2 linked regions of the Neurospora crassa OR74A genome follow. The protein of the gene in region 1 binds, or shares a complex with, the protein of each later gene. Links are inferred from orthologs where the notes say so. Each region holds a gene or a part of one and is shown in the gene's direction. Other genes may lie near its edges. The genes, in order: NCU04943 and NCU03889.

Region 1 (3,786 bases):
GCAACTCATCTATTCCTCTCATTTGTGGCGGCGATGCGTGCAAATCATCCAGCCCAGTGGACTTGATAAAGAGCTCGCTTTCAAGACCTGATGCGATCACGCCTGCATACGCCGAGGGACCGCCGGGGCACAAGAATCCAGGCTGTGGTACCCTTTCCAAAACGCCAAAGTGGACACTGGGAACCATCATCTTCATCCACGAGACTGGAGACGGACCTTCTGACATTCAGACTCGGTCAATCCAGTTCCAAGTCACCAATGAAGCCACGGTGCATGTAGTCGGTTGCCTCTACTACTTCCTGACCGACGCGGGAGAGGATCCACGTCTTCGGATTAACTGCAGCGGGCGTACAGATCGTAAGAGTCGGTATAGCACCCAGACAACAAATGCCGTATTGTGCCCGAGAAACTAGGAGTTGAAGAGCAACGAAACGTGGTAATGTGACGATGTGGATTCTGCAAAGCCGTAGGTTTATCGGCCGTCTTTTTCGGGCGGAAAAGGCTGCTAACCCCGAGGACTCCATAGAGCAAGCATCGCAAGCACAGGAAGCACCACTCTCCCTCTGACGTGACGTGCAGTATGAGTCGAAAGCCACGTACTGTCAAGCCGACAGTGTCCCCGCTCAAGACCAAGCCCTCTCAACAACGTCCCCTACACTATCGAAGATCCCATCCCGATCGTATACGGTAGTACCATCTCTTCTGTCGTCTCTCCCTCACGGGTCCTCGGTAACTTTGAGCTCGACAAAAGCACAGGTGACGGCATGAGCTTGGCAGCCATCAGCTTCAACCTGTGGCTCAACACTCAGAATAGCCTCTTCGACTTCCCAGTGTTCGTCTACCATGACGACGTCAAACTGAGTGATGCCGAAACCTGGTATACCGGTTCATTTGGCGCTGGTCAACAGTCTCTTGCGCCGAAGACTTGCTCGTTCCGGTAGGATAACGAGACTCGGAAAATTGCGACCAAGGCGGATTGGTTTTGTATTGACGCTCATCCAGAGCATCCGTATGTTGACTCCAATACCGTAAGTCATGGGGTGCCGGTGGATCGAAGAGAGTATGTCAATTTCCTTTGGGCAGCTTCGTGGACTGCTAGAGTGGAATCCAGAGAACCATGTCAAACTCAAGGGAGGTTCATCAAGAGTCCCTCCTCCGTATATCGCTGTATCTGGCTAAGTAGTGATTGGCCAATTCCTGGTCCTCGAAGTGATGCCAACATAGGATGATGCGCATGACATGTCATACGAGCAGCTGCAAGGAGGTTTGACGCGGTCCTGCAGGCTCATGCTTGAGTTCCTGAGCGTCTTTGCATCGTACATGGACGCGCTCTTGATTCCATGTCTTCTGGTGTGGTTGGCACTTGGTGAAGAAAGATGGTGAGGACGGGGTTGACGTGGAAGAGCAGAAAAAGGAACTGAATCCCTCCACTCCATGGCTGTGGACAGTTCCCCACAAAACCCACTTGCGCCCAGACCCGGCGGGAGCTACCTAACTGTTAGATACACCCTATCCGCGGCGCTAAACTGCAGCCGCCAAGACAGCCTCGAGCAAGCATCCCAGACTCCCGTCCAAATCGCAACTCTAAACGATTGCAGATGCCACCTTGCAAAGCTTCCAGAAGCATTTGACAATACTTAGCTTGAAGCTACCTATCTACTCTGGGGGTCCATCGTTTTGTAACCCATCTACTATAGCTTCTAATACACAATATCCTCTTCACTTCATCTCTCATCAACGAGAAGCATTGCTGCTTGCTTGCTTGTCTTGCTTCGAAGCTCAGCGACTGTCGCATGAACCCCTGAAAGTCAGCCCAACATGGTCAGTCAACCAGCACGGCACTCCAGCAACAGACACCATCACCATTCCCTTCTCATGAACCATACATACTATCTTGAACTAACATCTCCTCTGTTCTTCCAGAACACAACCTTCAACTCGGCTCTCAAGCAGAGCACCTCCATCCGCAAGGACCTCGCCGCCCTCTCCTCGCACGAGCTCGACCCGACCTCTCTCACGCCCGCCGCTTTGGGCTCCCTCTCGGCCTCCTTAACCGCCTTCAACCGGACCATTGACGAATACAACCACCTCGCCAAGCAGGAGCTCAACGCCGCCAAGCAAGAAAAGGCCTACGAGAGGATACGCAACTTCCGGTCCGAGCTGCACGACTTCCGCACGCAGCTGGACTCTCTGAAATCCAAGCGCGAGGAACACATGCACGCGCAGAACCGCGCCGAGCTGTTGGGACGCAGGCCGTTTGTGGCCAGTACGCCTGAGAATCCGTATGCGGGTGCTGGTGCGACGGCGACAAGCAGCGCTACGGGTGGTGGAGGGTATGGAATATCGCATGCCAGGACGAATAGCTTGGCGGAGTCGGGGAGGATGCAGAGCAGCAGCAGCAGCGGCATACTGGGCTCCGGGGACGCGAGTCGCGAGCAGCATGCGCTGAGGGAGCAGGATTTCTTTAGGAGCACGCACTCGGCGCTCGACGATTACATTGCGCGGGGCCAGGCGGTGCTGGGGGATCTGAATCAACAGAGGGAAATCATGAAGAACACGCAGCGGAAGCTGTACTCGGTTGGCAACACGCTGGGGATCAGTGGCGATACGATCAGGATGATTGAGCGGAGGGCGAAGCAGGATAAGTGGATCTTTTGGGGAGGCGTGGTGGTTTTCTTCTTGTTCTGTTGGTTGGTGTTGCATTATTTGAGGTGAGCTTTGCTTGTTGCTGCGTTGGTGGTCGAAACATGGGTCTTTTGGGAAAGGAAAAAAGAAAAAGAGACAGACGGGACTAATTGTTGATGGGTTATTTTATTAGCGGTGGAGGAGGACTCTTAGCGAAGGTCCGTTCAGATTGCGGCATGGGGCCCGGCGACGGCGGCATCTGTCTCACAGTCATCAAGCGCGGAGTTTTGGGTGTTGGGCTTGGCCTGGTTTACTTTTTAACTAAACAAACATGGTCTAATATCATGGGCAGCAATGCGTGAACAATTCAAAACAAAGGTACCATATGCCCTTTCCCTTCATCCACCATGTACGGGACGCAGAAAAAATGACCGGAACAGTAGTTGTTTGACAGCAGAGTACCCTCTATTTTCACCTCTGATCTTTCCTCGCGGGTGGTCGAGTCAGGCCTCTCCTCTCCTTGAGGTTATAACTTATACCCAACTACCCAACCAATCCCCCGTCATGCGTCTCCTCCCCACCACACCAAAGGACACCCCCTAAAGGTCCCTCAGCGCAATAGTAAACAAGACATCCTTCGTCGCCCTAACCTCCACCACCTCCGTCTCCGGCAAGACATGATTGCTCGTGCTAACCTGCCCGCCAAACTCAGTCGGCCAATCCTCCACATCCCACTCCAATCCTTTTGTCCAGATCCTGCTCGGTTCTTTGACCGGTAAGATCCCCACCCACTTGGCGAATACATCTTTCTCCGGTTGATTCGCCTGGCCTGGCTCACGCACCCGGATGCGATGGGTTCCCGATTTGAGCAGGAAAGTGAGCGATTCCCCGCTGAAAAGGTACATCCTCCCGTCCGCATAGGTGGGCGAGGACTGGAAGAGGTAGAGGTGGTGAAGCTGGGAGAGGCCCTGGTCGACGCGGCCGCCGAGACCGCCGATAGCGACGATGTCCGGGGGTGGAGCGTCCGGTTTGGAGCAAGAGGGGCCGCGGAGGTAGTCAACGGACTTGGCAAAGTCGGTTGAGTATTGGCTGGGTTCGTGGATGATTGCAGTTTGGCTGGCAGTGGGAGAAGAGGAGTGGGTGGTGAAGTAGGTGCGGGTT
Region 2 (4,262 bases), on another chromosome or scaffold:
GGGGCGCTCGGCTCCTGAAAGGAGCTCCTTGGCGGAAACCTGACGACCATAGAGCTTTGCATTGGCGTCTTTTCGCTCGATTATCATAGAACCTTCGAGAGACACGCCAGCAAACAAGCCCTTGGTCTTGGAATAACTGAAGATGCCCGCTACGCTTCTCAGCGAAGCGGCTCCGGCGGCCTCGGCATTTCTACCGACAGGCCCGGCCGCGACCGAAACGTTACCACCAAGTGTAAGTGACCCAGCTTGGGCGAAGGTTTTTACGGCGCTCGCGTCGTTGAGAATGAAAACGAAATCTGTAAGCTCGAAACCGATCTGACCGCCGAAGCCGGCACCACCCGTAGCAATGGCGGTGGGGGCAGACCAGCTGCCGTCGGGGAGGCGGGCGACTACCAGGCCGCTACCGAAACGGGCAGATCCGAGGAAACCAGCTTTGATGACGGTGAGTATAGCAAGACCCTAGGAGAACGTTAACCACCTGGTCGCTTTCGTTGAGGTTGCGGATGCTGTTTCGTACCTTGGCATTCGCGAGCACTGATGGCGGTATCACCTTGTCGGGACCAAAGGCTTGTTTGGGCTCGATGAAGGAGGCGAGGATTTTACCGCACTTCTTACATTCCGCTGGTTACAGACGTGTTAGGATGTCGGATTCGGCGAAGCGAAGGGGAGTTGCGGGGTCGGGCTCGCACAGCACGGGAACCCCGGGGACACAAACTCACACGAAAGTGACGACGGAAGAGGGTTGTTGATACCCATCTTGAAGTGTCGAAGCGGAACTCCCTATAGCGGACTGGCGCGGGTCTTGAAGGGCGAGGGCGTGTAGAGCGGCTGCGGTGAGAATGCCGTGGAAATGCGACAGCGACAGCGAAATATTAGAAAGAAAGAAAGAGATGGAGTTCGTCAGTCATTTCTCGGGACACTGGCCGATCAATGCCTGCAGGCACACTGGCAGGCAAGCAAGTAAGCAGATCAGCCCGGTCAATTTCTTGTGTACATAGTAAATGCGAGGTTGGTACCTGGGCGTCCCCACAACGGCGGTTTGTCAAGATGCTGGGGAGATCCTTGGGGTCACTTGTTGTTCGTGATGAACGATCTTGTTCCCGGAGGATAAGCCTTTGTGCGTGCTCTTTTGTTGGTGTAACTGTCCGTTTGAGAGTTTGTTTTTTTCCCTCTTCTTCACAGATCGGAGTAACTGATGAGCGAGGCTAAACAGTGGCATGGAATTCATCACAGTCAACATTTGAAATGGAAGTACTTGGAAATGGAAGCTGGAGCTCGTGCCGCGCGTCATGTGAGAACTGTAGCACTGGACCCTCAATCACTGGAGACGCTGGGATGGGCTTGGGCAAGCACTGCCGCCGTGGGCTGTGCAGTAGCGTACACTACTGTACCTCTACTTCTCTACTTTACTCCGTCCCTGCGCCCTGCACCTTCCACTTTGAATACCCGGGCCTTGTCCAGCGGGCAGAGCAGAGCGGGCGTTCGTCGTTACGTAGGTGACTGACTGACGGGACCCAAAGTTGCAGTGGCCCGACCACGAGCACAATCAAATGGCTCCAGCAGGCTCCGCTCCCCCCGAAAAAGACCCCGCATTGACCATGCATGTGCTTTACGCGCAGCCACACGTAAATGGCCGAAACTGACATCATTCGCGACTAGGAGGCCGTAGCTGTGGCTGGTGTATGCATCAACAAGCTGCAGTGAGCCGGCCGCCCCCATCATGATGGATGCATGATCCCGGTGTCCTTTCATTGTGACCCTGAACTGAGTGCATCTGGAACCTGCTACAACCTACCCCCTTTTGACATCCCCATAGCACTCAGCAATACCTAGGAACACCACGGCTTCACTCCGAACAACGGACGCTGCAAGACACCGAAGCCGACCCCCGCGCGCGCGACAAAATAACACGTAATAACATCTTCGATAATACGAAACTCGGGCCATATCAGCGAGTTCCAATTAACCCGATACTCAAAACTGACGAGTGAACCTCCCACACGGCCGCTGAGCGAGTCGCAACATACAACTACGACCACAACACAACCCCCCCCCATTACCATTATCAAGATGTCCGCAAACTACGAGCGCGAGCGCCAAAATAATGCGCGCCTCGACGAGCTAGCCTCCAAGGTTTCTGCCCTTCGAGGTGTAACGATTGACATTTACGACCAGGCGCGCAACCACGAAGTTATCGACCAAACGGTACGGTTCCTTTGATTTTACTCTGCACAAAATAACAAACTGACAAGTCCCACCAACAACGAACAGACCGATACCTTCTCCTCCATGGGCTCTCAACTCAAAGGTTCCGCCACCCGTCTAGGCCGCATGGCCGCATCGGGGAACAAGGTCGCCATTCTCAAGCTCTCGGGTATTCTTATTGGGAGCTTCCTGGTCATTTACTATCTTTATCGACTTTTTGTTGGTTAAATGATTCAAAAAGTCACGACGTGTGAGAGGGCTAAAGTCGTTTGAATATTGGGTCTATTGGGTCTATTGAACTTCGACATGCGAATACATGCCAGGAAGCAAAAGGAAGGGAGGTTCTCTTCATCGGGTTCACTACAACAACACAGGGCGAAGGATGTAGAGGGCGGCACGATTCGATTCCCGACAAATATCAGGAATGATAAGACGGATGCGTGCGAAGCCGGACATCAAGACAGGATGGAGCTTGTCCGGATAGCTTGTTGGATGTTGGAGTGCTGGTACAGGCGATGTGCAGTCCGCTTGCTCCCACAAAAGCCGCTACTAGTATTGCGCAGAGGAGGTGCAATGTAGGGTGGGGCAATGGGTGGGAGGGTAGCAGGTCACGCAGGACCGTAGGTCTGTGTTTTGGTGGATTCTGAACGAAGTGTGGATTTTGGTTTACAGACTGGGCTTAATGTTTTGTCTCGACAACAGACGGGTAGATGCAAAGGCATAGCAATGGCGTTGACGGTTCGGTTTTGTTTGTTTATTTGGGATTTGGTTTCTGCGTACCTTAGGTTGTCATTGATACGTCGTGTCGTATAAGCCAGACATCGACATTTCTCAGTCTCATCCTTGATTTTTCATTTTGAAACTTCAAGGACATCAGAAGGACATTAATGAGGGCAACACACACCTTACAAAAGATAGGAGGATCCTATATAAAAGTGCATTACTTTTGCCCTACCAACGAACAATAACTTGTTGTCTATAATGTAAATATGCCAAAACAAAACATGACTTGCTGATGTAAGAATGACTGCGTTGTTCATCATTCCCCTATTTGTCACGCATAAACCATCATTTGCCTAACTCTTAACTAGATCAGACTCCCACAGCATAAGTACGACATGGTGTTCGTGGATAGCATCCCCTTTCCAGTCAGGTGGTATAGAAGGAAAAACAAGTTCGGACGCTTGATGGGTTTGGTTTGGTTTGGTATAAGTTTGTCCGAGCTATTTCTCACATCACCTGCCGGTTGATTATATATTTACATGGTCGGCATCAGGCGCGAGGACAACAGCAAAAATCCCAGTAGACTGCACTCGGTTACCTCTGAACCCCATGTCGGAGATCCCTGAATTGTCGTTCTAAGGTTTCTTATTGCCAGACGTTTGAGAACAGGTCGTCACTGCCACCAAAACCGGTAGCCGGCTTGGATCCGCTCGGAGCAGCTGGTGTGGTAGTGCTGCTCATCCAGCCCCCAAACTCCTCATCGGCCGCCACCTTTGGTGCTGGGGCAAAGCCGCCCGAAGCGCTGGGGACAATAGGTTGGCTTGCGAAGGAGCCGCCGGTAGTGGAGGAGGTGGTGGTGCTGTTGCCCCATCCAAAATCGTTAGAAAGAGGGATAGAGGTAACAGGTGCTGGCTTGGGCGGTTCAGGAGCCGCAGGCTTGGGGGGCTCAGGGGCGGAGGCCCACTCGTTGGAACCCCATACACCTGCATCTGACCAGGCGTTAGACGTCGCAATAGAGGCAAGAGGGTTTGGTGTTGTTGAAGTAACGGCTGCAGGGGCCGGCGTGGTTGCGGCGGGCTTGGAAAGGTTGAATGCGGAGCTGAAGTCAGATGAAGGCTTCGGGGCGGCGGCCGAGGGAGGAGCGGTAGTAGCAGTAGCTGTTGTGGAAAAGTCAAACAGGTCACCGAGGGCGGAGGAAGCGGGCGCGGGCTTAGAGGCTGGCGCAGGAGGAGGGGTTGATGAGAAGCCCAGTGGGCTGCTGATGGACTGCTTGGATTGGTGGGAGGATGTGGCGGGCTTGGAATCGAAGAAGCTGCCACCGCTTAGGCCGGAAA

The links.
Region 2: NCU04943 (region 1) and NCU03889 share a complex: the UniProt entries of both Schizosaccharomyces pombe proteins name them as parts of the SNARE complex. The link is inferred for Neurospora crassa OR74A from reciprocal best matches to the Schizosaccharomyces pombe genes bos1 and sft1.

The regions. Positions count from the first base shown.
Region 1 is NC_026504.1:819,382-823,167, forward strand, and holds NCU04943 (V-SNARE protein Bos1), read left to right. Parts: upstream 1-1,601; 5' UTR 1,602-1,818; coding exon 1,819-1,821; intron 1,822-1,923; coding exon 1,924-2,715; 3' UTR 2,716-3,015; downstream 3,016-3,786. Other genes in the region: NCU11043 (hypothetical protein), read left to right, coding at 1-269, 615-941; NCU04944 (thiamine pyrophosphokinase Thi80), read right to left, coding at 3,225-3,786. UniProt on the Schizosaccharomyces pombe protein: SNARE required for targeting and fusion of ER-derived transport vesicles with the Golgi complex.
Region 2 is NC_026506.1:2,053,138-2,057,399, forward strand, and holds NCU03889 (SNARE), read left to right. Parts: upstream 1-1,462; 5' UTR 1,463-2,070; coding exon 2,071-2,205; intron 2,206-2,271; coding exon 2,272-2,433; 3' UTR 2,434-3,573; downstream 3,574-4,262. Other genes in the region: NCU03888 (DUF500 and SH3 domain-containing protein), read right to left, coding at 1-459, 518-621, 720-756; NCU03890 (stromal membrane-associated protein), read right to left, coding at 3,574-4,262. UniProt on the Schizosaccharomyces pombe protein: Vesicle SNARE required for retrograde transport within the Golgi complex.